4 linked regions of the Lepisosteus oculatus genome follow. The protein of the gene in region 1 purifies or fractionates together with the protein of each later gene. This does not show direct contact. Links are inferred from orthologs where the notes say so. Each region holds a gene or a part of one and is shown in the gene's direction. Other genes may lie near its edges. The genes, in order: strip1, sike1, ppp2cb and fgfr1op2.

The links.
Region 2: the proteins of strip1 (region 1) and sike1 purify together in Homo sapiens (affinity purification with mass spectrometry; 3 studies listed by BioGRID and IntAct, with this or other methods). This does not show direct contact. The link is inferred for Lepisosteus oculatus from reciprocal best matches to the Homo sapiens genes STRIP1 and SIKE1.
Region 3: the proteins of strip1 (region 1) and ppp2cb purify together in Homo sapiens (affinity purification with mass spectrometry; 6 studies listed by BioGRID and IntAct, counting the BioPlex papers as one, with this or other methods). This does not show direct contact. The link is inferred for Lepisosteus oculatus from reciprocal best matches to the Homo sapiens genes STRIP1 and PPP2CB.
Region 4: the proteins of strip1 (region 1) and fgfr1op2 purify together in Homo sapiens (affinity purification with mass spectrometry; 3 studies listed by BioGRID and IntAct, with this or other methods). This does not show direct contact. The link is inferred for Lepisosteus oculatus from reciprocal best matches to the Homo sapiens genes STRIP1 and FGFR1OP2.

Annotation. Positions count from the first base shown.
Region 1 is NC_090700.1:37,169,627-37,177,640, forward strand, and holds the start of strip1 (striatin-interacting protein 1 homolog), read left to right. Parts: upstream 1-4,998; 5' UTR 4,999-5,038; coding exon 5,039-5,146; intron 5,147-6,929; coding exon 6,930-6,999; intron 7,000-7,296; coding exon 7,297-7,371; intron 7,372-7,729; coding exon 7,730-7,864; intron 7,865-8,014. Other genes in the region: znf76 (zinc finger protein 76), read left to right, coding at 176-289, 832-936. UniProt on the Homo sapiens protein: Plays a role in the regulation of cell morphology and cytoskeletal organization. Required in the cortical actin filament dynamics and cell shape. Part of the striatin-interacting phosphatase and kinase (STRIPAK) complexes.
Region 2 is NC_090700.1:32,285,200-32,293,046, forward strand, and holds the start of sike1 (suppressor of IKBKE 1), read left to right. Parts: upstream 1-4,846; 5' UTR 4,847-4,871; intron 4,872-7,847.
Region 3 is NC_090698.1:27,325,858-27,333,704, forward strand, and holds the start of ppp2cb (serine/threonine-protein phosphatase 2A catalytic subunit beta isoform), read left to right. Parts: upstream 1-4,837; 5' UTR 4,838-5,225; coding exon 5,226-5,327; intron 5,328-7,847.
Region 4 is NC_090702.1:54,195,358-54,202,180, reverse strand, and holds the start of fgfr1op2 (FGFR1 oncogene partner 2 homolog), read left to right. Parts: upstream 1-3,819; 5' UTR 3,820-3,834; coding exon 3,835-3,883; intron 3,884-4,729; coding exon 4,730-4,866; intron 4,867-5,363; coding exon 5,364-5,481; intron 5,482-6,233; coding exon 6,234-6,376; intron 6,377-6,823. UniProt on the Homo sapiens protein: May be involved in wound healing pathway.

The DNA of each region.
Region 1 (8,014 bases):
GCTTGCCGGGATTGGCTCCTACTCCCCTACCACCCTCGATTGGATGAAGTGGTTAAAAAATTGATGAATAGAAAACTATATTGATTGTTCTAGAAGGTGATTTGAGTTATTTGAAATCCAGAAGATGTCACTTTATTTGCATTTAAACTTTTTCCCCCTCACCTCACTCTTTCAGGTTGCAATAGTAACATCAGATGGCATGATAACTGGAACCTCTGAGCTGTCTGCCCCTCATTACCAGCAGGTGGCGCTGTTGGCCACAGCAAATGGCACACAGATTGCTGTGCAGGTCAGTCAAATTCAGCAAGGCAGTATCAAACCCTGCTTACACAAACAGCGCATCCCTCACTCTTTTCTTTATGTGAATCGAAGTAAATGTTGATTATTTATTTGTCTCCATGCAAAATGTCCTCTTTATTTTACTGTTGATTCCAAAATTGTATATAGAAATCTACAAACTTATTGTATCTGTGTTGAACCCTCCCAAATGGAAAAGGCCAGTGGCCTTTTCCTGCGGTGGCATGGTGTTCGAGCTGAGGGATAATCTTTACAGACTCCAACTCCCCCAGCCCTGGCAGTGATCAGCCACACGTGCCACTCTGCTTGGGGAATCCTGGTCACAGTCCAGTTAATGACACAGGTCAGAGCTAAACTGGTGATGTCAGGGCAACCTGTGGTCGGCGTGCACCTCCAGTATAAAGGTGGAGCCATTCTGGAGCTAAGCCTTTTTACCTTTTGTTTTGTGAGCATTGGGAAAAAACACAAAACTCTCTTTAAGCCTTCCCCTGACTTTCCAATGAATCCATGACGTTGTCTTGTGTGTCTGCCCAGCTGGAGGAGCAGCAGACCCTGGAGGAAGCCATCAGCTTGGCTACAGCTGCGATTCAGCAGGGGAGCGTGGTTCAGGACGAGGTGATAGCGCAGGGGGGCTGCTGAGGAGCAGAGACGGCGCACCGCACAGTTGCCCCGCAGCGGGGAGCAGCTCAGAGACTGAACAGGCCAGCCCCAGCCCGACCAAAGTGCAGAGACGGGAACAGGAGCCAACTCCCCATTGTCTCTTGCCAGCTTTAACACACAACTTCATCTTGGCAGGAATTCATGGCTCAAGTGTGGAGGTTTGAGAGGGTGGCGGAAGGGTCATGTGCTGTTCATCCGGAAAACGAAACAGCCCTTGACAATCTCCAGTTGAGCAATACAGAAAGCAGGAGAAAACTGTGGACATTTTTCCCTGTATTAAAAGTAAATAATAAAAACTCAGAACTGTAAGTGTCAGAAAAGGTCTGGTATAATAGTTTTATGTCTGACTTCAAACATCACCTTATCAAACAAGAGAATTGACTGTCTTATTTTTTTAAGTCTACTAACCTAATACATTTTAGAAGACTTGGTTTAATAATTAAACTTGTTTTATACATGTTTTATAGACTTACCAGGTTACTGGCAGGGTTACTTTTAGGCATAGGCAACAGGGGAGGCTTGGAGAAGCAATTGAGAAGTTAAGAGAAGCTAATTGCTTCACTGCAATTATAAAGTGACCAGAAGTAGTCAAGACCTCAGTTTAACAGCTCATCAGTAGGTTGGCACCCCTACGCCCCGGTGTCCCTGGTCTCTACACTTGGACGTTTTCATACAAAGAGAAGAGTGCTACCTACTGGTCCACAAACTGTTATGAACATAACCTTTCACCTGGCTACTTCTCATCATTGTGTGTGCTGCAAGATGTTTTAATTTAGAATAGAATGTTGTTATCTTTAATATCTCTTATCTTTGGCTGCTGGATCTGAGATTAATGTTAAGGTGTGGAATGTGGGAAATTAATACAGTTGAGACATTCCCCTTCAAGTGTTGTAACGTCACTAGGGTGACTCATCTCCAACAAACATGAAAGAGCTGAGCCTATGGCAGCAGCTTTTTGTGGAGATCTTGTGCCTCGACAAGGATTTCTGTTTCTTTTGTCTTCCTTGTCCCTTTAAAGTTGGGTTAGAAGGAAGACTGCAGTTTTCTGCTTAGGCTGGAATGACAAGAATGTTTTAGTTTCCATTTAATGTGTCATTTCACCTTTTCCTATTCTTTTACTCCAATGTTCAGATCATCATTTTGCTTGGGCCAAATGCAATCAATATTGGTGGAGGTGTGACATTATGCTGTTCCTGGAAATGTGTGTCATAGAGTGATCTGGTGGTTTCACTGCATTCACTGTACCTTTATCTGCGCTGGCAGAGTAAAAATGTTACTTGAGAGAAAGAGTGTGACAAACTATAATACTGCACGTATTGCGATCTGGGTTTCAGAGAGGAGCCAGGGGTTTTGCTAGGCATGTTCTTTCAAACTTTTATTAAATTTGGCAACCTGATCTTCACAGTGTACATGCTTCAGTATTTGTCAATCTCCCTTCAGATTCTCAAAGTACTAAGTACTAAAGAAAAATATTTTGGATGCATCGTTTTCAAATTCTGTCTCAAGTAGAATCTGAGAGCATGGAAGGTGTATAGTTTTCCTTTAAGTAATCTTGTCCTTTTTATAATGTCAGTGTTTTACAGATAGTGATAATTCCTTGCATTTCTGTGATGCTTTTGAGATCTTGGCAGTCCTTAAATAATTGAATAATTGGTGTACTTAATGAAAGCTCAGTCGTTGCCTTGCTATGGTATAACGAAGGGTCTTTACACCATTATTTCCTGGTGTTTTTCACACTAAAACCCCTCCACCGTCCCTAGAATGACCACCAATGCATTTTTATTATATGGGGTGGGGGTCCTCCCCGAAACCAAACAAGTTGAACATTAACACATGCTCCTCTCTTATCACAGTTGTATTATATAGGTTTGTCTACAGCTTCTGGGTACAGAATAAGAGCTCAGGAAAAGGACAGAGCTGCTTTGTTTTACCATTGCGTATCTTTTATTTTGTTCCAGGCCTGTTCTGGCACTACAGTGTTGCCTTGCAAGGCGTTTTGTATTTTGCACCAGTGCAAAGTTCAGACAACTGGAATATAACTTCTGAGGTTAAATCGTAAGTAAATGCAATACAGATCTTCCCAGCTGCACTGAATCTAAAATTGTAATGTTCTTGTCACTTTTGCGGTGGAGCAAAAGCTCACTTTATGAGGCCCTTTGTGAGACTGGGCCCTTCTTATGTGTGATGACATCTCTTTTTCATTGTTATTTTCCATCAATAAAAGGAATTTGGTTAATAATGTTTGGAGTGTGTCGTGTGTTAACCTTTGGAATGTTATTATCAGGAGTGCCAGGCTGTTCACTGTTTGTAGGGAGTTTGTATAAGGGAAAGGGTGGAACGGCGGCTGTTTATTGCTGATGTCTCACAGCTCTTGAGTCCTGGGTTTGATTCAATACTTGGGCACCTTCTGATTGGAGTTTGCATGTTTTCCCAGTGTTTGTAGAGGATTTAGTGTAGTAGTACTTAAAACACATGCTGGTTAGGTTAGAGTCAGTAAAATGTGGAAATGTGTGTGCCCTGCGATGGACAGATGTCCAAATGTTTTACCATACAGTATAGATGGGCTGAATCTCCTGTCCAGGGGATCCAACCTGCCTTGCATCCTACGATAGGCAGCCTGAATTAGGTTGTAGGCTGTGTCTGAAAATTTCTTTTTTTCTGGGTGGGGTTTGGGAGAGATGCTCTGAGACTTTGGCATCTTAAGACATGCAGGTTATGCATAGTGGCTCGCCTCCAAATTGTACCTTACCTCAAAGGGTAGTAGAGGCATTTTCTCAAGTGATTCAGCCTGTGTCGGATCAGTAGTTCTGCTACAAACAGCGTTCTTGTGCGCACAGCACTGCCAGGAATGGAAATAGGAAAATAACAGCTTAGCTATGTTGTTTTTTGGTATTTTTTTAGTTCCCTCCTTGGTGAGGGAAAGTTGGTGGGTATGTTATTCCATCTTCCTAGCCTCTCTGTATCCCTGTTCTTTTACTCCAATGTTCCTCCCATCCCCAAATCCCACCATTTAACCCCAGGGAAGGGCGATACTGGTCCCATAGCCCTGGCGTGTCAGCAGTTTTAATTCCAGCACAGCTCTGAATATCTAAAACAGGCTTGGGACCAATGTAACAACTCCATCCAGCTCTCGAGGTGCTGTTGCTTTGGAGAGATGGAGAAAGCCTGCATGCATATCCTACTTCCAGGTTTAGGATTTTACCCACTGCTGATTAATTCTCTTATATGGGCCAAACACAGGCAAAAGCCACCAGGCAAAAGCCACCAGAAACAGTCATCCCAGGAACACGTCATTGCTCTTATTTAGAGTCACTGTCTGCTCCTCAGGCTGGGACAGGAAATTGCATACTCTATACTGCAGCTCTATTGTGTTTCCTCCCCCTGGCCTAGGAGAATTGATAGCTGCTGTGCTTCTGGCAGGTGTGGGATTAGATGTTTATTCCTGGAGTGTGTATTGCAGTGAGAAAGGAATAGAACTTCCACAAACCAATCGTATGGCAGATCTGCTTTGAACCTGCAGGGGACCTTATTCAGAATACTCTATGGCAAAGGTAAAGTCAACCCAATTGGTTAGCTGTGAAAACTGGGCCATGAGACACAAGCTAATGAGAAGTGCATATTTCTGACTTAGAACAGGAGAAATAAAACCTCAGGTCCTTCGTCAGGTAGTCGGCATCAATTACATAGCAGCCAAATAGAAATAGCCCCATTGGTATGTGAGCTTCCTTATGTTCTTGTTTGAGATTTTTGAATATTACCATATTGAGTTACTAAAGTTAAAGTTTTATCATGCACCTGTAAGTCAGGAGTGCTTATTGCAAATGATTGCCTAAAAAGAAGGACCGCCAGCACGAATATCCCCTCTTTTTTAGGGGACCAGTCCGTATTTCACAGCGTCTCCATTAACACCTTAAAACAGCAGAACACAGCTGGTTCCGTGCTCATCCGCATTCCTCAGCCGAAATCTCGTGATGTTTCGTTGTCTTGTAGGCTTCTGCCTGTTGTGTGAGCAAGTAGACTCTCGCGAGATATGTGGCTGCCGGTGGAAGGGGGGCTGGATGGGTGTAGCAGGGAAGCAAAGATGGACGTCGGAGTTGGCGGAGCGTTGGTTGTCAACAATAAACAGCGAGCGATGTTACCCAACAAAGGCAGGGGCGAATTCATCCGAAATCAGAGAAAGGACTCGGAGGTAAGGGAGGGGGTGTTGGTGCGATGCGATTTGTTTTTGAAAACAAGCTATCTTAACGTTCTTGGCTTAAGAAGAACATACACAGGATACAGCCTTGGTTGCGCTTAGTACATACAGCAGAAATACTCGCGTGAACCTTAAAAAAAGACCCAATAGCTTCGTGTGCATTTTATATATTGAACTGATCTTCTGTCGTTATTGTGTGAATGGGGAACGCGGGGAAGAGAAAGCGGAGAAGCGACGTTATTAATGCAACACGTAGCAACTAATGGAAAGAAGTTCGTCTCCTGCTGTACCACTTGGTGGTATTCGCCCTTGAAATATTTCCATTCTAGGCATTATTTTATACTGTTAATGTATCCCTAAATTAATAGGCGTTGTGATTTTAAAAAGCACAGACTGAAACGCAGTGTATATCATGGGGATTTTGGCAAAAAAAAATCCACATCCCCGGTTTCATTCTAGCCGGTGAGGAAGGATGGGAACTGGCGTTGTCATGGGAACCCGGTGCTGTCGCGGTGGTTGGAGGGGGATTTCAAGGCCAGATCGCGTACCACAGTAAAATGAGGACAGATGGGATATAATGTTCCCTTAATCTGGCAAGACATCCCCCCACCTTGGCCAAAGAGGTGCTGCCAATATTATGACACTTTCGTCTAAAATGACGAAATGCATAGGACCAATCTAAAACGTCCGGGAGCTAGTAATGGACTCGTTAAACACGGTCTGTACAACTACTACAATAAAATGGTGTTAAATCATAATCTTAAGTAAATGCAGAGTGGCATGGAGGTTAGTGAGGCACTAGGGTATCTTCCATGTGGAGCATGCACAGTCTTACTTTGGCGTGTGGGATTTCTATAGGCATTGACCACTATCTTTTCATTTTTTGCTCCAGGCTTATTGATTTCAGATTTCTTACTGGGACATGTTTAAAATTTGTTGTTACCACATTGACTGAGGTTTGTAATTGGTAATCAACCTGAACCTTGTACTTGTTTTGGTGCTCCTCCTCATCGATGTGTGTATCCCCTTAAATATAATCCTGTTGGCTTCTACAGAAGGAAATACAAATTTGATGCATTGCCAGATTATTCTGAATTAGTCTTTTGAGGGGTACATTTTTAGTATCCGGCATTCTCCCATACACTAAACCCCTCATCAATTTTCTTGGATTGATCACTGATATCTAAAATTCTGGGTAACAAAACCACAGCCTCAGTCTGTTCACTAGTTATATTAAGATCAGAACTACACGCCTGTATGCTTAGAGTAATGTGGGTGGCAAGGTTCGATTCTAGCTATGGGTGCCTGTCTGTCTGGAGATTTCATGTGCCCCTGTGTTTGTGTGAGTTTTCACCAGGTGCCATTATTTCTTCCAGCTTCCTAACTGAATGCGGGTTAGGTTTAGTTTAGGATTAGGAGGCTTTAAATTGACTCTTTCCAGATGAAGAGTTTCAGGAGGATTTGCCTTGGAGGAGGTTTGTTCCCAGTACTGGCTTTGTGATTACAGTGAAACAGAAGTCAATGGGCTGGATGGACTTAACAGTAAAATAACTGGCTTCTGAGAAAATTGGCCCTGGTGTGAGTGTGTGCATGTTTATGCCTGTGACTGTGGGGCTCTGTGATGGACAGCTGTCCTACATTATCTGTGATTGGATAAAGTAGTTAGAAAATAGAAGCATGAAGTTTGGGGCCACTGACTTGTACACACAACATGTTGTTGCTTGGCTACAAAAGCAATCCTGAACAGTCAGACAGAAGTTGTGTTCATGTTTTCCAGGGTTTTTCTGAATCTCCTGATCTAGAGTTTGAATATGCTGATACAGACAGATGGGCTGCAGAGCTTTCAGGTGGGTTGGATATTTAATATATTATCTTCTGGGTGCTTAAAAATATAGAAGCTTAATTTCACAAATATTCCTAAAGAATATTTTTATTGCCTTTGTACAAAATTGGAGCAGTCATGTTTTAAATTGCAGTATTTTATTTTTTTCTTCTGTTGTTCTGTAGCTAAGACTACTATTTCCTTATGATTGTTATACTGGACAGTGATCTTGTTTGTCACGAGTCAGTTTTCACTAGATTGCACTGTGCCCTGTCTTGTTTTCAAAACCAATATTGGTGTCTTTTGTTGGTTTGTTTTCTAGAGCTGTATAGTTACACAGAGGGACCAGAGTTTCTGCTCAACAAGAAGTGCTTTATTGAAGATTTCAGGACACATGGTACTTTTGGTTTAAAACAAGGAGAACATCTGTTGAGTGGTTAATGTACAGCACCACAGGCTCTGCTTGATTACTGTTTTCATGCAATTTATATTTCTGTATACACCGTGTCTAATATTATTTTGCATTTATTGTATATCATTTCTGTAATATCACTGTCTAATACTCATTTTTTATAGATACAGCACGGGTTTTAAATATAGCATTTTAATATACAGTAGGAGTGAAACATTGTATCAGAATCCAACACAGGTTCACAGGTTCCCATCCAATCAATGTTCACAGATGCAGTGATAAACATGGCTTTGAGCTCGAAGTCCTTCAGGCTGGTCATCAGTTCTATGCTTTGCCTTCTCAGTGACAGATAAGAAATGGACAGAACTGGACGCCACTCAGCACAGGGCCCATGCGATGCGGCTCCTGGATGGGCTGGAAGTGACGGCCAGGGAGAAGAGGCTCAAAGTAGCCAGAGCTATTCTGTACATGGCTCAGGGTAAGTCAGCAAATAGCTCAGGAGTAGCAGCTTGTGGCACTGTCTGCCTCATTAAGGACTGTCCTGTGACTGCTATGGTGTGATACAATTGGGAAAGAGTCTGTATTGCACAAGCTAAAGGGCATTTTCTTTACATTGAGTTGGATATTG
Region 2 (7,847 bases), about 4.9 Mb from region 1:
CGCTGTCTCTTTGAAATCTGCCCTCAGTCAGGCACTGTCAACAGGGCCCTTGTTTGCCCCCTGCCTTCTGACTGGGCGGCTCAGGAGCCGCCGTGTTTGCTGTACAAGCAGGAAGTGGGCTCAGGAGATAAAACCGCCCGTGTTTCTGAGAGAGTGGTGACACAGGCACGACAAAGTCCAGGGCTGATGCAAGAGGTTCACAAAACTGTTGGAAGGCTCACTGGGGGCTTCATCTTTCATTAACTCTTTGACACCTTCCCTTTCAGAACTGAAATGTATCCTTGGTACCGTATGTTCCCAATCAGATCGAAAGACTCTAGAAATACCCATTTTCAGCTCAGGAATATTTAATAATACACAAATATATTATAAAAATAAATCAATGAATAGATTCAATATATAAATATCTTGGGTGGCATGGTGGCACAGTGGTTAGCCTTGCTGCCTTGGGGCGCTGGGGCCCTGGCTTCAATTCAGGACCTGACATCCTCTCTGTGTGGGGTTGGTATGTTCTCCCCATCTTCACATGGGTTTCCTCTGGGTGCTCCGGTTTCCTCCCACCAAAAGCGTACTGATAGGTTAGCTGGCTTCTAGGAAAATTGGCCTAAGGTGTGAATGTGCCTGTGTGTGTGCCCTGTGATGGACTGATGTCCCGTCCAGGGTGTATCCTGTCTTGAGTCCTTTGCTTGCCAGGGTAGGCTCGTTGTGACCCTGAATTGGAAGAATTGGATATAAAATGGATAGATGTCTGGATATACATATACAAAGAAGATTGAAAGATACAAGATCAGTCTAAACAATCGCTTGCGAGCTCAGAAAAGGAAGCTGTGGAAAGTGAGACCAGCTTGGAAACACAAAATCTGGGGCACTTTTAAGTGAAAGTTTGTGGCTGCCTGAAACAAACTACCCAACAACACTGTGGAAGATGATTCACTGGGAGTCTTTAAGAAAAGGCTATTGAAATTGTGAAACAATTACTTTAAGAATGCAAGAAAGGTTGTAAAGGAGAGGCAGCTATTCATTCCAATAGCGCATTAGGTGCTAGTAGTTAATTGATCTCAGCCAACCACTTCTTCACAGAGGTTTAGGGTATCAGCTTTATCACATTATTGGGATAACTCGTTCCAGGCTCCCACAGCCCTAGGTGTAAATGAAATCCCTCCAGTTCTCAGTCTTCAATGCACTTTCCTGTACTTAAGCCACTTGTTAGAAACCAAATGAGCAAGTTGAACTGAATTGTCATTCCTCTTTTTGGTAAAGTTTCAGAAGACTGCCGACGTGAACTAACAACTGGTACTGAAAATGTTTTAAAGATACACAGCAATGGAAAAGGTCTTTTCCTCAGCAGGGAAGGTGTGAAGTATCAGATATAAACAATTTTAAGAGCTACTAATATCGTCTTCTTTGTAGTTAAATTTAAACAAATAAGCACATAATAAGCATTAGTGAACCACTGGGATCAAACAGCCAAATCACTAAAATGATTTGTAGATGTTATTATTTGTTTTCCACAGTTTTTTCCCAGTGTGTCAAAGTCAAAGTTTATGGCTTATGGCTGTGTTTTTCAAAAAACAACATTACTTAAGTGTTTCCTGTTTGCTTTCCTTTTTAATCATTTTGCAGTCTGCACAACAGACTGACCAAGATCTGCACCTCTGTAAATCAGCTAGTGACCTACACAAAGACACCCCATGAAGTGTTTCAGTACCATTGAATCCAGACTTATACAAGTACCATTGTGGACTACAGCGGCACAAATGAAGAGCTGTTTATTTTACGGATATTTTATTAGGCTCCAGGAAGGTTTTTCTGTTTTATTTATAAATAACAGAAGCTAATGAAAGTTCAATGAATTGCAGCTTATGACACAGCACAAACTTTGAGTGTACATAGAAAAACAGTGATCTTGCTATTATAAGTAGTAGTTTTAATATATAAAACAGTAGAAACATTTGCATAAGTCGCAACAGAGTGCTAGAATCAGCTGTAGTATTAGGAGTGTAAGTATAATATTAGTGGCGGTAGCATTTAAAGGAATATTTTATTCACTTTAGGACAGTGCCACATGTATCTGACACCAAAATAAACTGATATATCACCTTCTAAACTACTTGGTGATCATCCCTACAGCACATTTTAATTTGTTAACTTCAGCAGGTGTGACAGAGTTGTCCTTGTCTGGGAAAGGTCCTCTGTCTGGTACTATGTTATTGGCTACCACTGTGAGTAATAGGGTGGTCTGTCCGTACTAAGTACTGCTACATTACAGGAACATAAAATATGTTGACAGTCACTGAAAACGCATGAGTACTATCCTGTATATTTAAAGTAGTATAGCTAAAAAAACACTTTCACAGACATCACAATGTTTGTAGCTGGGGTGTTTTTTGTAAATACGACTTATTTGTGTATACCCTGACCTGATCTGTCCTGAGTATGTGATATTTTTGGAATAACTGAAAGGCGGGGATAACCTTATCAGTATCAGTCATTGTGCCATGTGTGGAAATATTAAGTTCTAATGCATATGCAATGGTTGCTTGTACACACTCAGTCATGACAATAACAGAGAGTGACTGGAGCTGTACTCAGGCTATAAAACGTCCTGCAAAACCGCTTGGATTCAGAGCACTACAGGGGCAGAGGTGAGGGATACACCTTGTGTGTCTTCTTGGGTGTTCTCCGGTAATTGCCTTTTTTGTAACAAATTAAAACTTGTTTCAAACCTTCACTGGGCTATGTTTTCACTTCTGGCATCTTCTAAATTGGTCCTTAGCAAAGTCAACAAATTTTGGTTATTTAGAGCCATACATACATTTCTGTACACTGCAGAATATCCATTCGTAAGGTAATACAAAACTCCTCTCCTGAGATTCAGTGCGAATCAATGACCGCAGGTCAGAGAAACTCTCAATCTTCTCAGCATTGCTGTGTAACCTATATAGAGACACTCTCTGAATTGGAAGCTGTGAAAACAATAAAGGTGTTTCCAAGTCAGAACCTCAGTAATGTAACCTGGCTCAGACTTCCATTCCGTTTCTTGTTTTATGTGCAAGACTGCTATCCTATCATAAAAGCTAGTATTATTTATTTCTGACCTGCTCAGGAAAACAGCAACAGGAGTTGAAAATTCCATTTGTTAAGACATGAAGAAAGCCCTGATACATCTATCAATAGTCCCATACCCTCAGAATGTTTTCATGTGCTAAATTATTTAATACTTTAACACTTATTAAAGTGTTTTTAGAAATGTTAACAGCTGGTTTGTGAATAATTTATCTGGTGTCATTAATAACACCTAAAATGTAACGGAAACATTTTCAGAAACGTGATTTGGTAATGTGAGAAAGAATCCCTGTCAACGTTCCAGTTATTTTTTATATTAAATATCTTAAATGGCTATTTCTGTGAGTTAATCAGGACAAATTTAAAGGTAAAAGGCTGAACAGAAGATCTTCTCCAACATCACTACAATTTCTTCTGTAATTGTTCTTCTCATTGTAATTTCTGACAATCAGAAATAGTCAAAACATGCATTTTAAAATCTACCTGATCATTTCTAAAGAAAACGTTTGCTCCTGTGTTTTTTTTCGGGGGGGGGGAGCTGTATAAACAAACTTTTCTGCAAGTGACCTAAACTTTTGTCTGACAACAGCAAGTGTGCCTTCAGGCAAAGCAGGGGCTGAAACATTAAATCATTGACAGTATCATCCCTCCATGTCGGCAGAAGGGAACAGTGAGGGCAGAAGTGTGTCTGTAGTCTGCCAAGAAAAGGAAACTCTTTCTGTATTTTTCTGTCCTCACTGGGAAATTCCTATCTCGGTTCACACTGGAAGTTTGTGGTTTTAGTGTCTATAGTTTTTTGATTCAGTGCCGTCCAGTTCTATCTCCTACAAATAACTTCAATAATTGTGGTTTTGAAATTTGCTAAAGAAGACATAATATGTTGTTGTTTTCCTGCTTCCAACAGTCTTCCCTCTCTGACCTTTGACACGCTCCATGGATTACCCTGTATCCTTTAAAACATTGGCAGATAAGTTGAAATCAGGACTATTCAACACAGTAAATTTGTTGCAAAACAATTAAAGGGTTTGAGGGGATCTGTTTCTGTGCATTCTGCTCTTAAAGCAGATAATTTGATTATATTACTAGCCACCTTACAGATGTTTTTGCTTTGAAAATTGCTCCAGTTTTTTCCAAAGCAAAATAAAAATACAAGTACAGACAATTCTTCAACCAACACTGCATTTAGGCGATATTTTTGAAACACCTTTCAGACATCCGAACTCTTCTATAGTCACAGGAAACCTCGTCAGATCTGTGCCTTTAAATATTTTTACAGTGACTTCCAGAAAATGGGGAGAAGTGATTTGATCTGGTTTAAAAGACCCCCTGCTGTGCTGTTGTATTAATTTTTAAATTAGAAAACAGCTTCATTTCCAAAATGCTTTGCACTTCACTCGCTTGTCTCCCGTGTCTGTCTTCTTTGATTATCCTTCATAAGAATACGCCGTTATGCTGTGTGGACATGCCAAATGTGTTTTAACATCTGCCATCATGCACTCGGAGCATTTCTGGAGTTATTTTTAAGAGTTTTACTCACTGCCACGCTCACTCGTAAAGGTTGCTGTCTGGCCACTCTCTGCTTCCTCGCTTCCCCCAGTTCTTCTTCTGTGGGACACTCTGTCTCTCTTGTGCGCTGTCTCTGCACTCAGCCACTGAGGCTCCAGACTGAGCACTGCTCTCTCTCCTCTCTCCCAAACACTCCCCCCACCCCCCACACAGCAGCACGGCACTGAAGAGGGGGGGTGCTCGGAGAGAACCCACTCTCCTCTGGACAGTGCCTGGGTACAGGAGCAAGTCTTTTTGAGGTAAGGGAGGGGGATACCAGTATTGATATTAAACACTTAGATTGAATGGTTTAATTATGTCACCAATGGGCTTAAGGGCTGAGGGGGGATTCATTTCTGTAGATTTAGGACAGAGGGGGGATTCCGTTAATTATTGTTGAACAACCATGTTATTGACTTCCTGATAACTATTGTTACATTTCTCCAGTAGAAAGAAAAAAGAAAGAAATATCCTCATTCTCTTCCTCAATTTGAACATGGTAGAAGGAAGATTTTGTTGCTGTATTGTTATGAGACAATGATATTTACAATAGATTCCAAAGTTTGTATGTATATATATTATTGTCATTTTCAGTTTAAGTGTTTTTGTCTCAAATGAATTGTTGTGATAGACTTGGAATTGATCCTGTAATGACTGCAATATCTATAGTATACCTAGTAAGTTGTGCATTTTACCTAAGTTTGTATCAACCCAGAGGCAAAAGATCTACTTTAAGTTGAGAGAAGGGGCAACTTCATGTTCCACACCAGGGAAAACATTTTCCTGTAATGTGTATTTCTTAATCCATTTAATTTGCATATAATAAATACATTTAGATCACCTTCTATCACAATTTCAATGTTAAAGGGGAACTGCTTTGTACATCATATTTCGGGGTTAGAAAAAATCAGTATTGATGAGTGCATTTCAAGCTGCAGTAAAAGTAAAATGTAAGCAGTAACTTGTAAAACCTCCAATTTACATCACAAAATTTGCCAGCAGCTACATCACCCCGCAACTAACAAATGTCAGCCCACTGAAGCTTAGCAGGTGTGAACCTGGCCAGTACCTGGATGGGAGACCAAGGTTGCAGTTGGAAGTGGTGTTAGTAGTGTTAGTGGAGCCAGTAGGGGGTGCTTACCCTGGGGTGTGGGTCCTAATGCCCCAGTTATAGTGATGAGGACACTATACTAGAAAAAGGCACCATGTTTTGGATGAGACGTAAAACGGAGGTCCTGACTCTCTGTGGTCATTAAAAATCCCAGACTTTTTCTTAAAAAGAGTAAGGGTGTACACTGGTATCCTGGCCAAATTTGTATCACGTCACAATTCTTGGGAACTCGAATGCAAGTTTGCAACAACGTGGTGACTTACAGTACTTTCAAAGAGTTCACAATTTTGTGCTTAATTTAACATTTGTAAAAAATTTTCTATAACGTAAGTGAATTTATTCTGTTACCAAGATTTAATAACCGGTCTGAGAAATTGGGACAGCAGTTCCCTTTTAATTTAGCTGTTCTCAGAATTGTAATGTTTCTAAAGCATATTCACAAGAGGCAAATTACCAATGATGGATAATAAGACAGCTATGGCACAAAATGTCAGTTGATGACTATAAACTGATGTGCAGTTTGTTGATTCTGGGTGATCAGAGCACACAGATTAACACAACAATAACACATAGCACGGGCATGAAGTTGCACAATGAAAAATTGTTGAATTATCAAGAAACACTTTATTTCTTCTCTACACTCATTTTATATCTTGAAGGCATTTAATTAGTACTGATGCACAATGAACATGGAACGGTTTTACTTCAGTATCTCATTGGAAACAAACATAAAGTTATTTACATTTTAAAAAGTGAGTACATAAGTTGTTTGAATAGTTCTTGGAGGGCAAAATATTGGAATCAAGCTATGTGATTTTATAAAAAAACAGGTGCTCAGTTTGCAATTTGGATCAAAATGAATTTAAGAATCTGTGTAAATGACTATTGTAAAAGGCAAGATTGTGATTAATGCTGCAACAGTGTAAGAGTCAACCATTTCCCACCTGAGACCTGAAGACCACGTGGTTGGTTTCAGTGTAACTGAAGGTGGCCTGACTGTGAGAGAAATGTTCCACTTCAACAATCAGTAGACTAGTCCAGAGAATCCAGAAAATTGGCTCTGTGAGGGACTGAATCACCTGTGAGGCAAAGGAATCACCGTACAGGCCCAGAACAATCTGACCCACCTGTTTGTTTTCAGACTGCAGTGGCTACAGTGTGAGGAATTCCAAAAACAATAGCCTGCTCATCTGCATAATAACTGGATCACCATGTTCTTGATGATCTGCATGCTAGCTGGTGACATCTAAGCTGGTTGTAGAATGGGAGAGATTAATTTGATTTTTCTCTTGATGGTCCTGACAGGAGACAACCTGGGTAAAGTTGTCATGGTTAGTATTATGGTAATTGTTGCACTGTTCTAGCCAGGCTGTGTAGTGGTAGAACTGTGATTATCTAGGGAGACATCTCCTTTAACTCAAGAACAGCTCTGAAGCAGATTGAGGGTTCTCTTACAGCTCAGAGAGCAGTTTCACTGACAAAGGCCATGAGCCAACAGCTTCTCCATTCCTGCAAGACACTCCAGAAGGGTCCATTTCCAGCAGGACAATGCGAGACCATGCAGTACTAGGATTACAATGACATGACTTCCAGAAAACAATGTTGCGGACTTGCAGAGGTCTTGCAGTAACCCGCTATTTCTCCTCATCTGAGTCCAATAGAACATCTGAGGGACCAAGTTGGCATTGCCATGAACAACAGACAACCTTCCCCAGCTGGCTGCATGCTGCACAGGAAAAGTGCTGAAACTTCCCACAGTATTAAAAACTTTTCATTGATTCATCTCGTGGTACTGTAGATCAACACAAGCATTTTACCAAGACTTTCTTTTAAGCTTTTTTTCCCCTTTGTTCTAATTTTCCCTTTCCCTTTCTCTAAAAACAAAACAAAATTAATGAAGTCCTTCAGAGCTCATCTCAACCAAAGACCAAGAGAAGTGGGGTTCACACATAAATGAACTTGCAGTACAGCAGTGACAGCTTTCGCACAAAGGATTTTCAAACAACATTTGTCATTCAAAACAGTTCAACAATATATTAAAAGAAGCTTTTGAGGTTTTACAGAAAAAAATATTATCAAAAATGCTTGATCGGATTACTTTATCAACTACTTCATTAAAAAGAAT
Region 3 (7,847 bases), on another chromosome or scaffold:
TACCTGTAAAGCGCTTTGAGTGGAGTGTCCAGAAAAAAGCTTTATAAGTGTAAGCAATTATTATTATATTGGTGGTCCACTAAAAAACACAGCACAGCCAAATTTGCACTGTATCGTTTTGCACCGTACAGTTTTACACAGCCTCCTTTTCCAATATAATATGTATTAGAATGTGAGACCTACATCATGAAAACCTAAACTCTTGAAGACAATAAAGCAACCAAACAGCAAAAGATCTTAGTACTGAAATTGAATGGGTTGGTTTGTTTGGGAAATCGAGTGGTCGGTGTAAATATTTAAAGTTTTTGGACATGATGCACAACTTATTTTATAATTATGAATACTCAGTATTCATAATTCATAATTTATGTGAACATGAATTACCACATTTAAAGTGCCATACTGTGTTCAAAATCTGTGAAACAAAACAAAAACAACCCTTGCAAAAAAAGATAATCATATATTTTTCTGAGTTCAGTTCAGCAGCTTACATACAGTAAAATTAACATAATATACCGGGTGACTTTTAATTTGCAAGGAAGCCTTGTCAGCCCATATTTGAAACCTATAGATATTAGACAAGCCAACAAAGAAAAAATATTGTAACTTCTTGGGTTAATTATCTGGTGACGTAAACCAATCAAATGTCAGGTCTGAAAAGACAGCATCTACCGATAACTGTTACACTATTCAATGACCACAAGCCTCAAAGTAGTCACGTGCTTATTAATTCTTTTCTCGACAGGAAAGAGTTAAAAACAACTGTCAGTAGACAGCAGCAGCCTGTGACTCTTCCTTCGGGACACATCAAGGACAATGAGGTCATGACCTGTCCTCTGGCAATTAAGGAGATCCGAGACACATCATTACAGCTGGAGACCACTGCTCTCAGAAATGGTCATGACTCTTTACAGCTACAGCCTCATGTGCAAGCACTTAGTGAGACAATTCTGGAGACAATATATAAACTGCAGAATGGCTCTGAGCAGCAGATTAAAAAAAAAGCCAAATCTTTGGAGCCTTTTCCCCACACATTAGCCTCTGAGCAGGGTATGATGTGCGACGTAAATTGCACTCCAAAAACCAAGGTTTCATCTTCTGACTTCGTGTCTGTGGGGAGGGTGTTTGAGCAGCAGCGCACAACATGGGCACCTTGGCACAAGAATCACGGTTCATCCCTGCAGCGTACTCTGCCCTGTCCAGTTTCCCACGCACAACAGCGAGAATGCCACAGGTACCAGCAGCAGCTGAGACCAGCCTGGGGTGAGACAAAGACACAGACTTGTATATCAAACAAAAGGCACCCTGAGAGACGTCCGGGCAGTGAGGGACTTTTAAGGCCCAGCATCTTACAGAACAGCCAGCAGCAGACTCTGCATTCACAGGCACCACACTACTGGAACCAGCCCGTCTTACCCTTTTGGTCTCTGCACCAGGGAGGTGGTGCGTGGACACAGCAGCTTCACAGTGCTCCTGTGTGCTCTGGAAGGCAGGAGCTCCAACCAGCCAGTACTTACCACGCATTTGCAAGCACTACAGATCATGGATCTCAGTTTCATCATCTTCAGGCATTAAACAACTCCTGTCCGTATTACAATTGTGAACCCTTTCTCTTTTGTAATGGGTATCCATTTGGTATGAGCAATTCTCAGATACCTGCAGTGGACTCTCAGCAACTGAGGACATTTTATTCTGATCCAAATTGTTCTGCAGCAAGTCAGCCACCACCAGGTATGTTAGTACATGAGCTTCTGTGTCACTCATTATTTTTTGTTTTACTACATGTATACAGCTTGTGAAATCTACTTTATTGTGCTGAAGACCACTATCTGAAGTTAACAGATTCTTTACATCTTGAAATATATAACATAGTGGAACAAAGAGTTAATGTTTAAACAAAATATGAGATAAATTCTAAAAATGCGTAAAACATTTTTCAGGAAAAAAGTGAATTATCACCTGTCAGCTGTTTGACTGTCAGTTAAACTAACTTTACCTTTGATATTTCTGTTTTTCAGTGTACTGGAATTAGAGAGAAGCAGAGAACACAAGAACATTATGTCTGATGGTTCTATTTTTGGTTGTTTTCAAGAGTCCTTTCTGAAAACTTTAGGTCTGAAAGCTTTTATATGTTTCTTTCATATTTCTTAAAAAATATATTTTTGTATTTTTTGCAGAGTCCTGCCAAGATAATATTTTCCTTCATGCTTTCCTAGAATTTTATGCTCAATTTGTAAAGAACAAAATGTTATCCATGATTTAATCCTATACATTGTCTGAGCACTATTTGTTTCTGTACTGTTTGTCATATTAAAATGTATTTTTGACAAATTTGTCAGTATTTTTCTATAAAAGGTACAGTACTGATGTGACAGAACCCACCCTTAGATAAGGTGGACTCATTGATCTGAGCCCATGAAGATTCACAAGGATGACCCTATATGATGCTGGAGACTTTATTTCAGGGTAAACAGGAGATCTTACATTCAAAAGACTGTAAAGAGAAGCTCCCACCCACACCCCTTGCCTATTGTTAAACTCTAGCAGTCTGACCTGACTGCTTCTTAAAACGCAACTCATCACTAACACAGTGAAAGTCCCTATACCCATGTACCCAAACACATCACTGATTAACACCCATGTGAGAATGTGTCATCTACCACACTGTAAAAATAATAAAAATGAACAATTTAACCCCAGTGAAATTATTCTCGAGTAGAGGACGGTGGCTAGTGGCAGGTCAGTTGTTATTAAAGTCCCTTCAAAGACCAGCCTGCTACACTTTGCTTTTCTTTATTAATGCAAATTTTAGGTTCATTTAATATGTATCCTTGGCAGGGATATAGGGAAAGTATATATACAAAACAGGTAATGCTTTGTATTCCTATGTTTGCATATTAAATGTAATATAAATATTAAATGTATTCAAGATAATACGTTATACAATAGTGTAATGAATCTGTACAGTATTGAGCTAATAAATCTTACAAGTCATTTATGTTAACATAGTAAACCTTTTTTCGGACTGTGGAAATGTTACAAAAAGCCAACAGCATAGTTATACTGCATACAGTTACATAACATGTTAGCAGCTAAAGCTGTACTATACATGACCTATTGTCAAGTTAGACACCATAATCCAAATAGATATGCAAAGGAGAGCAGCATTGTTACAGAGCTGAAAGATGACATCCAGTGTACACACTGTAGGAGGGAGGAAGGGTGCTACTGTCTATATCAGTCCAAACACTTTAGTTCTTATATTTGAGAACGTGGACACGCTGGAGAAGACTACACTTCCCAGGAGCCTCTGGTGAGCAGCAAGCTGGGTCATCGATCACTGGGGTCATCAGTAGTGTGTCTGGAGCAGTATAAAAGAAGCTAGCTGGGCCAGACTGTTGTTTAAAGAGACTAGGCTAAAGGACTGTCCTTCAGTCCAGTCTCCTTAATCTTGGATTTCTGTTTATATCTCCAAATGTGCATGTACAGAACTATATTGACGCAGAGGAAATGTCTCAAGTCCATTAAAAGAGCACTCTTATTATTATTCCTATAGTCCCTGAGTCTCTTCAGCTAGTGCAAAGGAATGTTTCCCTGCTTTGTCTCTCATTGTTCATCTTGTAGAAGTTCAGTGGAAGGACTATGTTGGCTCTTGTGAGCAGTTAAAATACTTGAATTAGATCAGTTTGTCATCCTGTCTATGTCTAAAATGTTAATACTGCAAATAAAACTGAAATTCACGTTTGTGAAGAAGAAAAAGATGGAAGCCAAGACTTTTTGGCAGTTTAAACATTTAAACAAGAGGGTCTACAGATTAATTCAAAAATTACATCTGCTTATACATGATTAGTTGAAGAAGATACTCTAGAAAAGTTTTTATCTTTGTTTTGGGGTCCTAACAGTTAAACAGCAAGATGTGCAAGCATCAAGCAAAGTGTAATCTGAGCAGGGATTGATGAAAACAGATTATTCACTAACTCTGGCAGTGGCAAGGGATTTCATCTGGTTGCATCATGCTATTGAGTTTGATTGCTCTAAGCACAGTATCTATTTCCACACTTACTACCACCAGACACCTGCTGATCCAGAAGGCCCTCAGACCTTCAAATGCAGACTGTGCATTGCACTGTGCACCTAGATGACAAGATGTTTTGAATATTTCTGAACATGTGTGGAAGTAGAGGGCCCTCTGGTGAAACACAGAGGCACTCACAATAGTTTCAGCAGTCAAATGTCAATTGATTTTCACTGTGCCTGGGACCCTACACAATAAACTGTAGAAACACAATCCTCTGCCAAAATGAAAAATATTCTATTTAGTTCAAAATAAAGTTTTGAAATGTGGTTGTCTTTTGTTTCTCGTGGAACTTTAACAATCATTCATATATAGGAAATATACCACCCAAAACTAAAGCATAAGATACATTTTTTCTGGTAATGCAGGTACTATCAATTTGGCAGTCCCTATGAAAAAGGCATTGTGTGGCTGAAAGATCATGTTAAAAACTTGAATCATAAATAATCAATCCAATTATCATTTATTAAAACACGTGCAGAAACAGGTTTAAAACGTCTAACCAAGCAGTAGTTCATTTAAAGGAATAAATAGGCTCATGAGTAAGAGCTCTACTGGAAAAAAAAACTGTAACACAGATGCCCTCCAGGACCGGGGTTGAGAAGCACTAACCCACAGTTTATAGCCAACTAGGTCTTCTCTGACAGCGGAGGGCGCTAGAAGAATAACTGCTAACTTGCTAAAGCTATTTGCAGTTGGAGGGAAACGTCTCTTCACCGAGTGTTTTTCTTGCTTTGTGAAATCTCCGGTGTTGTGGTGGAAATGCCATTGTGATGACGTTTGGGGGAGGAGAGCGCAGAGCCGGTCGGCCATTACACAGCTGAGTTTCGCTGGGAAGGTCGGGGGGAAGAGGAGCTACTGGCAGTGAAGGAAGAGTGCGGCTCATCCCCTGCTACCCACCCGCTGGACCCAGGAACCAGAGCGCCTAAAGTCTTAGGGGACTTGAAAACGCCCGGACCAGTTTGATTTCGCCGTTTCTGAGCCGATTTCAGCTATCTGTTCCGAAAGCCGAGGTGCCCCCCTTCGCACCGCTCTGCAAAGCTCCAGCTTCAGCCTTTCAGCGACGAATTTCGATAAGAAAAAAAAGAAACGAGTCACTGCTCGAAACAACTTAGTGCTTAAAACCGCTTTGCCGTGTGTGTTTTTAAAAATGGACGATAAAGCCTTTACAAAAGAACTGGATCAATGGGTCGAGCAGCTGAACGATTGCAAGCAGCTGACTGAGAACCAAGTGAGAACGCTGTGTGAGAAGGTACGGCAATTTATGGTTTTTACCATGCATCTTGGAAGTGACTGTGTGTGTTCAAGTTTCAACTGAGGGTCAGTCTTTTTTGGTGTAATGTACCGGCATTTCGCCCCTAGCTTGTGAACGCTCGCTGTACTCGGGTAAAGTGAAGTGGGCTGCTGATGTTTGGGGCCCCAGCGACGGCGCTGCCAAATAGTGACCGATTGAACGCGAGCGGCGCGTCAGCTGCGGGCTGGGTGAGAGCTGCGAGATAGTGATCCGTGGCGCATGCGGCGTCCGCAGCCGTCAGGTGGGGAGAGCTCAGTGCGCCTGTGCGGGACGGGCTGGTGGGGCTCGTTCCAGCGCATCAGCAAAAAGGACCAGACGTGCTGCTCACAGGAGAGCTCGTTGTGGTTTGTGAGGCTTTTCTGTTCTGAAATTGCTGTGTTTATCCACTTCGTTATTGAGCGTTGTATATGCACGTTAGTGCATTTTAGTAGAGTCATGACAATTAATTTAAACCACGCGATATAAAACAAAAAAAAACTTATCTTGCTTAATTTTTTCCTAAGTGGGGTTTAAAACAAGCAATATTAACTTTGAAGAACACTCATAATATAAAGCGAGAAACAACGATGCTGTGTTTGTGGAACACAGCAATATTGTGAATGTAAAGCAACCATACATTGAAAAATGTTCTCACAGTCATGGAGTTTGTAATAAAGTACTACTTTAACCTCCGTAGGCACCATCATAATGTCTGTTTTGCTGGTGGCACGCGTAATCTCACGGGTTTCGATGCTCGCAGGTCACGGTCAGTTCAGTCTTGCAGGTTCTGCTGAATTCGGCCCTTGTGCACGAGGACGCCAGCTTTCGAGGTCCAGTTGCCCCGGGACGAGGCACCTGCTGTGTCCAGCGCACATCAGGCAGTAGCACCGTGTAAAAAGAACAAACTCGGGATTTTCTTCTAAAGCAGGGCTCCTCAACCTCCAGCCTGCTCTATTTTCCATTATTTCTACAACCAGCTTCTTAATTATTTAGCTGCGGACCAGTAGGATCAATATAGTAATTAAGGGGCGGGTTGCATGAGTTGGAGAATGATTTTGTTGCTCAAAGGGTTTTTATGACACTGTACCTTTTGATAGGGGGTCTGTCATCTGTCCTGGGGAGTCTAATACAGAAATATTAATTCTTGGACCTAAAGGGTTGCAGTTTGCCAGTTTCACAGGTTTACGTAGGGGTAATCCGCAATGGGTAAAGACTTGAAATAATACAGAGCAGCAGAGTGAACAGCAGAGTCCAGCTTGGAATGAAAACCTGAAAACAACAGCCCCCCAGGACCAGCAATGAATATCAGTGGCCTAGCATGTCCGCCAGTTTTCTAGGTCTCTTTCATTCACTGACAACTGAAGAGCTGGGCAGCGTTAAATTGGTATAGCCAGTAACAAGCTGATTTAGGTCATTTAGAAATGAGATGGAATGAAAACCTACTAAAACACCGGACCTCCAGAATCTTTATAGTCACCAAGCAGAGAGACCTGGGGTTGGGATTAAAACACCATGGACAGTTAAGAACTTCAAACACATCACTAGATGGGAGTCATGCTTTTCACTTAAGAAATGGCTTTGAAATTTGTGATTTTGTTTGTGGGTATAGGTTGTCTAGCTCTGGATCCTGGGCAGTGTGTGAAATTGTGTCGCTAAGGCAAATTAATAGGCCACTGAATTCCTTCAACGCTGTGCTGAATCAGAAACTAGAATGAATCACCTTAGCATCAGTTAAAATCAAGTTTAAATCTTGTTTTATAGGAAGGTTAGGATCTGATAACTACAAGTAAGGATTTTCATAGGCTATGTGCTAAGGTTCTAGGCCTGCTATTGTATATGTAAGTATGAAGAATACAACTGTTCCTAATTTAAGGGTAAAAGTATTTTTCTGATGGTGTTGCTGGGAGAGAAAAAATAATTGGGTTCCGGTCATGGCCAATCAGAACTGCTTTGGGAACATTAAGATGAGTCTGCTAATAATGATGGCTTTATTAAAATGCTCCAATAAAAGTTGTAACATGCCCAAGTGTGTGCCTCTGCAATGTCTCTTTACTAACTGAGTGCTGGGCTCCTCCATCTCCATTCTGAGGATTCTTCTGAGATAGCAATAGGGGCTCTGTTTCCCTCATTGCCTTTTTCCTCGCAACCAGTCTGTTTGAAACAAACCTACATGATCCCATGTTTCTTTAGCTTCTTTCTACCCCAGCTGTTGCCTGCTCGCAGAACTGTCATCCACCTGATAGAAACAGGCTTTTGAGTCTTTCAGTCTCAAACACCGACTGCTTCTGAGCCCAAAGTCAAGCCTGGTTTCCTGGGATTGTATTGTCAGCGTTTTTATCTTTGGAACAACCACAGGGATGAAAGCATCACTTCTTTTCCTACAGTTCTTTTTCAGTTAGTAGCTCCCTGTGTTTTAAAGAGAGTTTTTGGAAAGTCTTGCCCTTGCCTTCTCCCGGGTGAATAAACACCATTGCTTGAATGTCGGTCCCCTAGTTCATT
Region 4 (6,823 bases), on another chromosome or scaffold:
CCAATATTTTTATCCATTACCGTGCATGTAAACGTAGTTAACGTATTGGCCTAGAATTACGTCGTTTAGTTTTCTCACCCTTTTTGTCAGTGAGCAATTCCCCAGCCCCACAGTACTACCTCTGTCTTCAGAAGGTGTTGAAAGGGTCAATGTCTTACATTACATTTTTACTATTGTTAAAAGATGAAGTTGATTATTCAGATTATTGATTATTCAGTTATAATTTAGAGATTGGGTGTGGAATTAAATAAGAATCAGGATTTAGGGACACTCAGCTACTTGATTGGGTCATGAAGGTTTTGGTCTTATTGAGGCTATTTGTGTTTTTTTTTTAATTTTCCATTTGCAAGACAAGAAATCCCCCCCCCCCAAAAAGAAAACCTCTTGTGTAACGAACAGTTCTTTCCGGACCCTATGCGGACGACACAATCCGAAGAAGTGGGGAAACACTAGGAAAACGTCATGCAGGAATACGGGGCTGAAAACAGGGGGGCGTGTCCAAAGTGCGCTGGTGCACGGGGGAGGTGTGGCCGAGGCAAACAATCCAAAAGTAATCCATAGAGGGAATCTAAAAACACAAGAATAAGTCCATAGCCAGGTGATCCATCCAAACTAGGAATTAAAACCATGAACCGGGTCGGAACCGGCGGACAGGGAACGGGACCAGACGCTTCCAGGTCCCGGACTCGCACGGTGTGGAAACCAGATGCAGAGCCAGGATGAGCGTCAGCGCCTGGCATTTAAGGTGGGCTGGGAAAAGGGATCAGGTGCACAGAATTAAATCTAAAGTGAAAGGGCTGGAGCACCCTTAAGGAGGGGGGACTATAATCGTGACATCTTGTTAAAAATCACCCAGCTTTCATAAATGCTAAAACCTTGAGCTAATAACACATCGGAAGAGAAAGGTGAGAAGCACAGGATGTGCTTGTGTTGAGCTGGGTGCTGGTCGTTTGTCACCTGTCGTGTAATCACTTCCTGCTAACCCCGGTCCGAGAAACCTCTGTGCTCTGTGCAGACTCATTAGGACCGAGAGAGATTTGTTTATACCCAGGAGACACTTCTGTACCTTATTGTACAATAAAACATTGACTGTAAAATAAAATGTACCAGTGCAAGTACAAATTCAATTTAAATGCAGCATTTTCGACTTTTTCTGCCTGACACTTGCACATGTTTAGAATTTATTTTTTACCGGTTGTTCTCTTTATTTCTATGTTATTTTTTTCTTCTGTGCAACAGTGGTGTGTGTTTCCCAGCCAGGTCATCATTGTAAGAGAGAACATGTTCTTAGCTGAATGATAATTGTATGAATTCTTAGTTGTATGACTTTAGAGTTTCTTTCACTATAAAAGGTTCTGGTTTTGATTAATGGAGTAGCTGTTTGTTTAGCTGAATATGTAGTCACTATTTAATATTGTCGTATGCTGGATTATGACGTACAACTCTGGGGATTGTATTACTTATTTTAGGTATTTTGTACAATTTCTGATTCTAAATCTTTGCTAAACAAAAGTATTTTATACAGAAACATATATTTTTTCATCAACAGAGGATACCCCACCCGTGTTATTGACAGGGTCCTCACCTGAGCGAAAAACAGCCCTCGGACCATCAACTCGATCAGGAACTCCTGGCCTAACAACAGCATTCCTTTGGTGCTTCCCTTCCTCCGTAACACACTCTCCATCCCCAGGACCGTTAACAACAACTTTCCTATCCTACAGGATGATCCCTCCACTGGGGCCCTCTTTTCTGATCGCCCCATCATCTCATATCGCCGACCACCTCATCTGTGTAACCTCCTTGTTCACAGCTCCCCTGACCGCCCTCACCAGCCATCCACACCAGGTATATTCCCCTGCAACAGAGCTGTATCACCTGCAAGTACACATCTAACACCACACTCATTCAAGGCCCCTCAGGACAATTCCAGATCACCCAGATGGCATCTTGTACCTCCAGCGACCAACTGTATCTCTTGCAGAAAATGAAGAAGTAAAGGTTTATTCCTTGCTTAAAAGAGAAGAAAAGAAACACAGTGTTTTGGCCTTCTTCAGGTGTGCTCTTTTCAGCAGGAATAAAGCTTGGCTTGTTCCTTTGCAGCCTACGCCTGCTGATGCAGCTCCCTACTTGAACTACGTATGTACAGTACAGTGTATACAATGTTAAAAATATCGTGAATAGTGTTTCAACTTCAATACTACCCAAATAAAAGGTAATTATTTTTAATTGGAGTCTATTTTGTGACTGTTATGGGAGAGAAAGGCTATGTATCAGGGATCTGAAAACTACAACAGAAAACCCTACAGATTAGTGTACAGTATAGTCAGTGAAATGTTTTAGCTTCAGACCTCACCGTGTAAGAAACTAATCAAATTAATTAAAAAATTTTGAAGGTAATATCCTCGATAACCACATTATATGTCTTTTTAAAAAAACACAGAGAGGTTTACTTTTTCTGCTCTGGTGTTACCAAGCGCAGCCCTGACAGTGTGATAAACTACAAATCCCAGACGTCTGTTTGGGTGCCGCATCCGGTGTGCGTGCGCCAATCAACCGGAAAAGCTTTACATAAACAGGAAAAAGATTCCGGACTAAGAGGCGCTGGAGTTCTCAGGTAAGGTTTGAAATTGTGTTATATGTAAAAATAGAAAAGTTAATAGGCCTAATATATAGTTGATTAATGTAGGCATTTATGTTTGAATGTGTACATTTATAAAATTAATTAGGAAGTGCTGTATATTCGGTGCAGCAGTCAGTGATACACTTAATTTAAACTAGATTACGTATTAATCACTTTAGAAATAAAGAAGTTCGCGTCATGAGTATTGCACTTCAGAGTAAACCATTGTGAAAATTAAAATATTTTAATTCAACATAGGCTTTTATGTATCATAATGAACATAGTGCAACAGGGATGACCGTCGACACATTCGTTGTTTTTCTTAACACTGCCAAAAACTTCTGAGGATGTCGAATCGGTTCTCTGGTCTGGATTTTCAGGATTTATAAAACAGTCGGCAGTTGCGTGTCCTTTGGGGGAAAAAATGAATGAATGCTGCCCCCTGTGATAGTGATCGGACAAAATCATTGGACAGAACCGTCGGTTAAGTGTCAGAATAAGGGAAACTTCTTGTTTGCTCATTGGTAGGAGCTGTAGATCAGGCTGTATGTTTGTCTTATTCCAGGATTCAGGGGGTTGGGTTCGACTTATCGATTCCCGGAATACTGTACGCGTTCTGTGTTTCTTTAAATCCCAAACTCTGCCCCACTGATAGTTTAGATATGCTTTAATGGTCCTTAAGAGACTTATAAAAACCGTAGTGGATTATGGTACCGAAGGATGAGAATCTCTCTGCGATCTAGCATTGGAGAAACAACGTGCCTTCTATTAGGACGTGTGTTCTTACTTGTCAGTCCCCACAATTTAATATTAAATAATCCAGGTGGGGCTGCACATTGGTGGTGGATGAGGGGAGTCCCCATTACCTGTAAAGAGCTTTGAGTTGAGTGTCCTGAAAAGCGCTATATAAGTGTAAGCAATTATTATTATTATTAGCGCGTAAGAGTTAATGTTTACTTTAAAGTAAAACCAAGAATGTCTCAACATTACAGTTGATCATTCGGAGATTCTCCTGTGGTCCCCGTGACTGGAGTAGCCTACATGTAGCCCATCAAAGCTGCTGTTGCTGTTCTTGAGCAGCTCTAGCAGATGCCTTGTTCTGTGAATTGAAACATGTGTTTGTGAAGCACAGGCTTTGTAATAGCTCTGGAAACCTAATTCTCCAACGGCAATGTTTTGAAAATTGTACATCTACAGAGACCTTTCTAATAATGGAACAGAAAAAGGATTCACAACACCACAGCCTTCTCATGAAAAAAGGTGAGGCTGTCTACTCAATTCAGATTAGGCCGATAAAGTCTGTTAATAATTAATAATAATAATAATAATAATTGCTTACACTTATATAGCGCTTTTTTGGACACTTCACTCAAAGCGCTTTACAGGTAATGGGGACTCCCCTCCACCACCACCAGTGTGCAGCATCCATCTGGATGATGCAACGGCAGCCATAGTGCGCCAGAACGCTCACCACACATCAGCTATTAGTGGGGAAGAGAGCAGAGTAATGAAGCCAATTGATAGATGGGGATTATTAGGAGGCCATGATTGGTAAGGGCCAATGGGAAATTTGGCCAGGACGCCGGGGTTACACCCCTACTGTTTTCGAGAAACGCCCTGGGATTTTTAATGACCACAGAGAGTCAGGACCTCGGTTTTACGTCTCATCCGAAGGACAGCGCCTGTTTACAGCACAGTGTCCCCGTCACTATACTGGGGCATTAGGACCCACATGGACTGCAAGGTGAGTGCCCCCTGCTGGCCCCACTAACACCTCTTCCAGCAGCAACCTTAGTTTTTCCCAGGAGGTCTCCCATCCAGGTACTGATCAGTTCTTTCTGTGATCACCCTGATTCCAGTTGATTGGTATTGCAGGTGAAGCTGGGGGGTCTGATTCTCTTAGGGTAGTGTATATACATTCTTTCTCATCTTATTTTGCTATGCTATGAATTCTTTCAGAGCGGCGTTGTGATTTCCTCCTTCTTACAGTGGAATCATACGTTCGGAGCATGCCCCCTCTGATCGCTGGGATGCTCTTCACTCGACCTGCTGTGGGGTGTATTCTCTTCACGGTTGTCAAATGGCTATTGTCCCCATGTTTTGCAGAAATGAGCTGTACGATAGACAGAGTTCTGGCTGACGCTAAAGCCCTTGTGGACAGGCTGAGAGACCATGACAGTGCTGCCGAGGTGCTGATTGAGCAGACAACCTCCCTAAACAAGCGAGTTGAAGCAATGAAACAGGTAACGCTGCCTTTCGGCAAACAGCTGTATGCATTTTGTGTCAGAAGTCGGGAAGCAACAGTGAATCACTGAAGAACAAGGGGGTGGATTTCTGTTCTCAGACCACTGTCTGAAGTTAAGGAGCTTTGTGCTTGTGAAATGCATGCCAAAGAAATAGATGAGAGATTTCGATCACTTGGTTGCAACAACACAAGGTGCCTACTAGTGCAAAAGAGCAACCACAAGTGAGAATAGGCCATTTAGCCCAACTAGCGCACCTGACAGTTAGTAGTGAATTGACCTCAAGATCTCATCCAGCTGTTTCTAGAAAAAAAACAGAGTATCAGCTTCAACAACGTGGCTGGGTGGCTTGTTTCAGACTCCCACTACCCTTTGGCAAAGACAGATCTCCTGTTCTCTGCTTTAAATACATTTCCACGTCTCGGTGCACGAAAGCGTATTCATGTTGATGAAATCTGAAGAGGGCTTTTTGAGATGCACCTTTGATTTGCCCTCAGTACCAGGAGGAGATCCAAGAGCTGAACGAGGTGGCAAGACACCGGCCTCGGTCGACCCTGGTCATGGGCATTCAACAGGAGAACCGCCAGATCAGAGACCTGCAGCAGGAGAACAAAGGTGAGACTCGCGTGCCACGAGACGAAACACATCAGCAGAATAATCATTCGTATCTTAGAGAACCACACCTTTTCATCTCTTTTCTTTCCTCTCCATTTGAATGTGTGGCTGCAGTCAGCACCATTCAGACCCGAGTGAAGGCTGATTCCACGCTGCTCAGCAGAAAGAAAGAGCACAAGGCTTCAGCTGCTGAGCGTTTCGGACACTTTCTCACCTGCCGTTGTTCTCCTGTGCTTTATAGCCCTACGTCCTCCCTCTTTCTCCCTCACACCTGAAGAAGGCTCAATAGCCAAAAAACTTTCTTCTTTTTTACTTGTTTCTTTGCAGCTACACAAACCCTTTCAATTGTTCAGATGTGTTAAGTTCTTCAATTTTGTGTAGTTTAAGATGAAGTGAAATCCCATTATTTTTTCCACCTGTCCATTCCTTAAAAATGTCCATTTACTCCTATGATAGAAGTCCTCAGTTCACAAAAATGATCTTCCAGTGAAAGTAAAGGCGTTGTCTTGGGTCACACCTCTTGTTAATATTAGCAAGAAAACAACAGTAGTTGGCAAAGAGTTGGGAAGATTAAGCATTGTCTGAAAGATGTATTGTAAATTGCGATTGTACCTTTAGCAGATTCCTTTTACTGAGTTACTCAAAGTAGTCAGCTTAGTGATTATTTCCTCCCCCTGGCCTACATCAGAAGAACTGAACAGTAAGTGTGTACATTGTAAAAGACTGCTTGTCGTGTCTGCTCTTTTTCACAGAACTGCGCACTTCTTTGGAGGAGCACCAGTCAGCTCTTGAGCTCATCATGAGCAAATACAGGGAGCAGGTCTTCAGGTTGTTAATGGCCAGCAAAAAAGACGACCCTGTCATAATCACAAAGCTGAAAGAGCAGCATTCCAACGTGAGTATCAGATTCACTGTTAGATTTAAAGGACTTTTAACTTTGTGCGGGCTTCTTAAACCTTCTTCTTAAACCATATGTTAGGCATTACCCTTGGCATTCACTTTTACTGATGGCTTTTTTACTGGAATAATCAAGTACCTGACCACCGTGCTGCCCCGGATGCCTGCAGTCAAACACTGTATAGAAAATGATCCTTAAACCCGCTGGCACCTGGAGTGCTTAAAGGTTGTTTTTGTGACTTGGTAACATCCATTGAGACCGATGGGGGTTTTGGATGTAGTATATACTGTATGATGTCATGCTGGATGACATTCATGTACGTAGCTGTGGTGCTTTCTTCAGGTGTCACTGGAAAAATACATTGTATTCTATTGTATGTACACTGGATTAATAATCCCCTTGCAATTACTCCATTTTATTCTCTGCTCTCTTTCTGCACAGGTG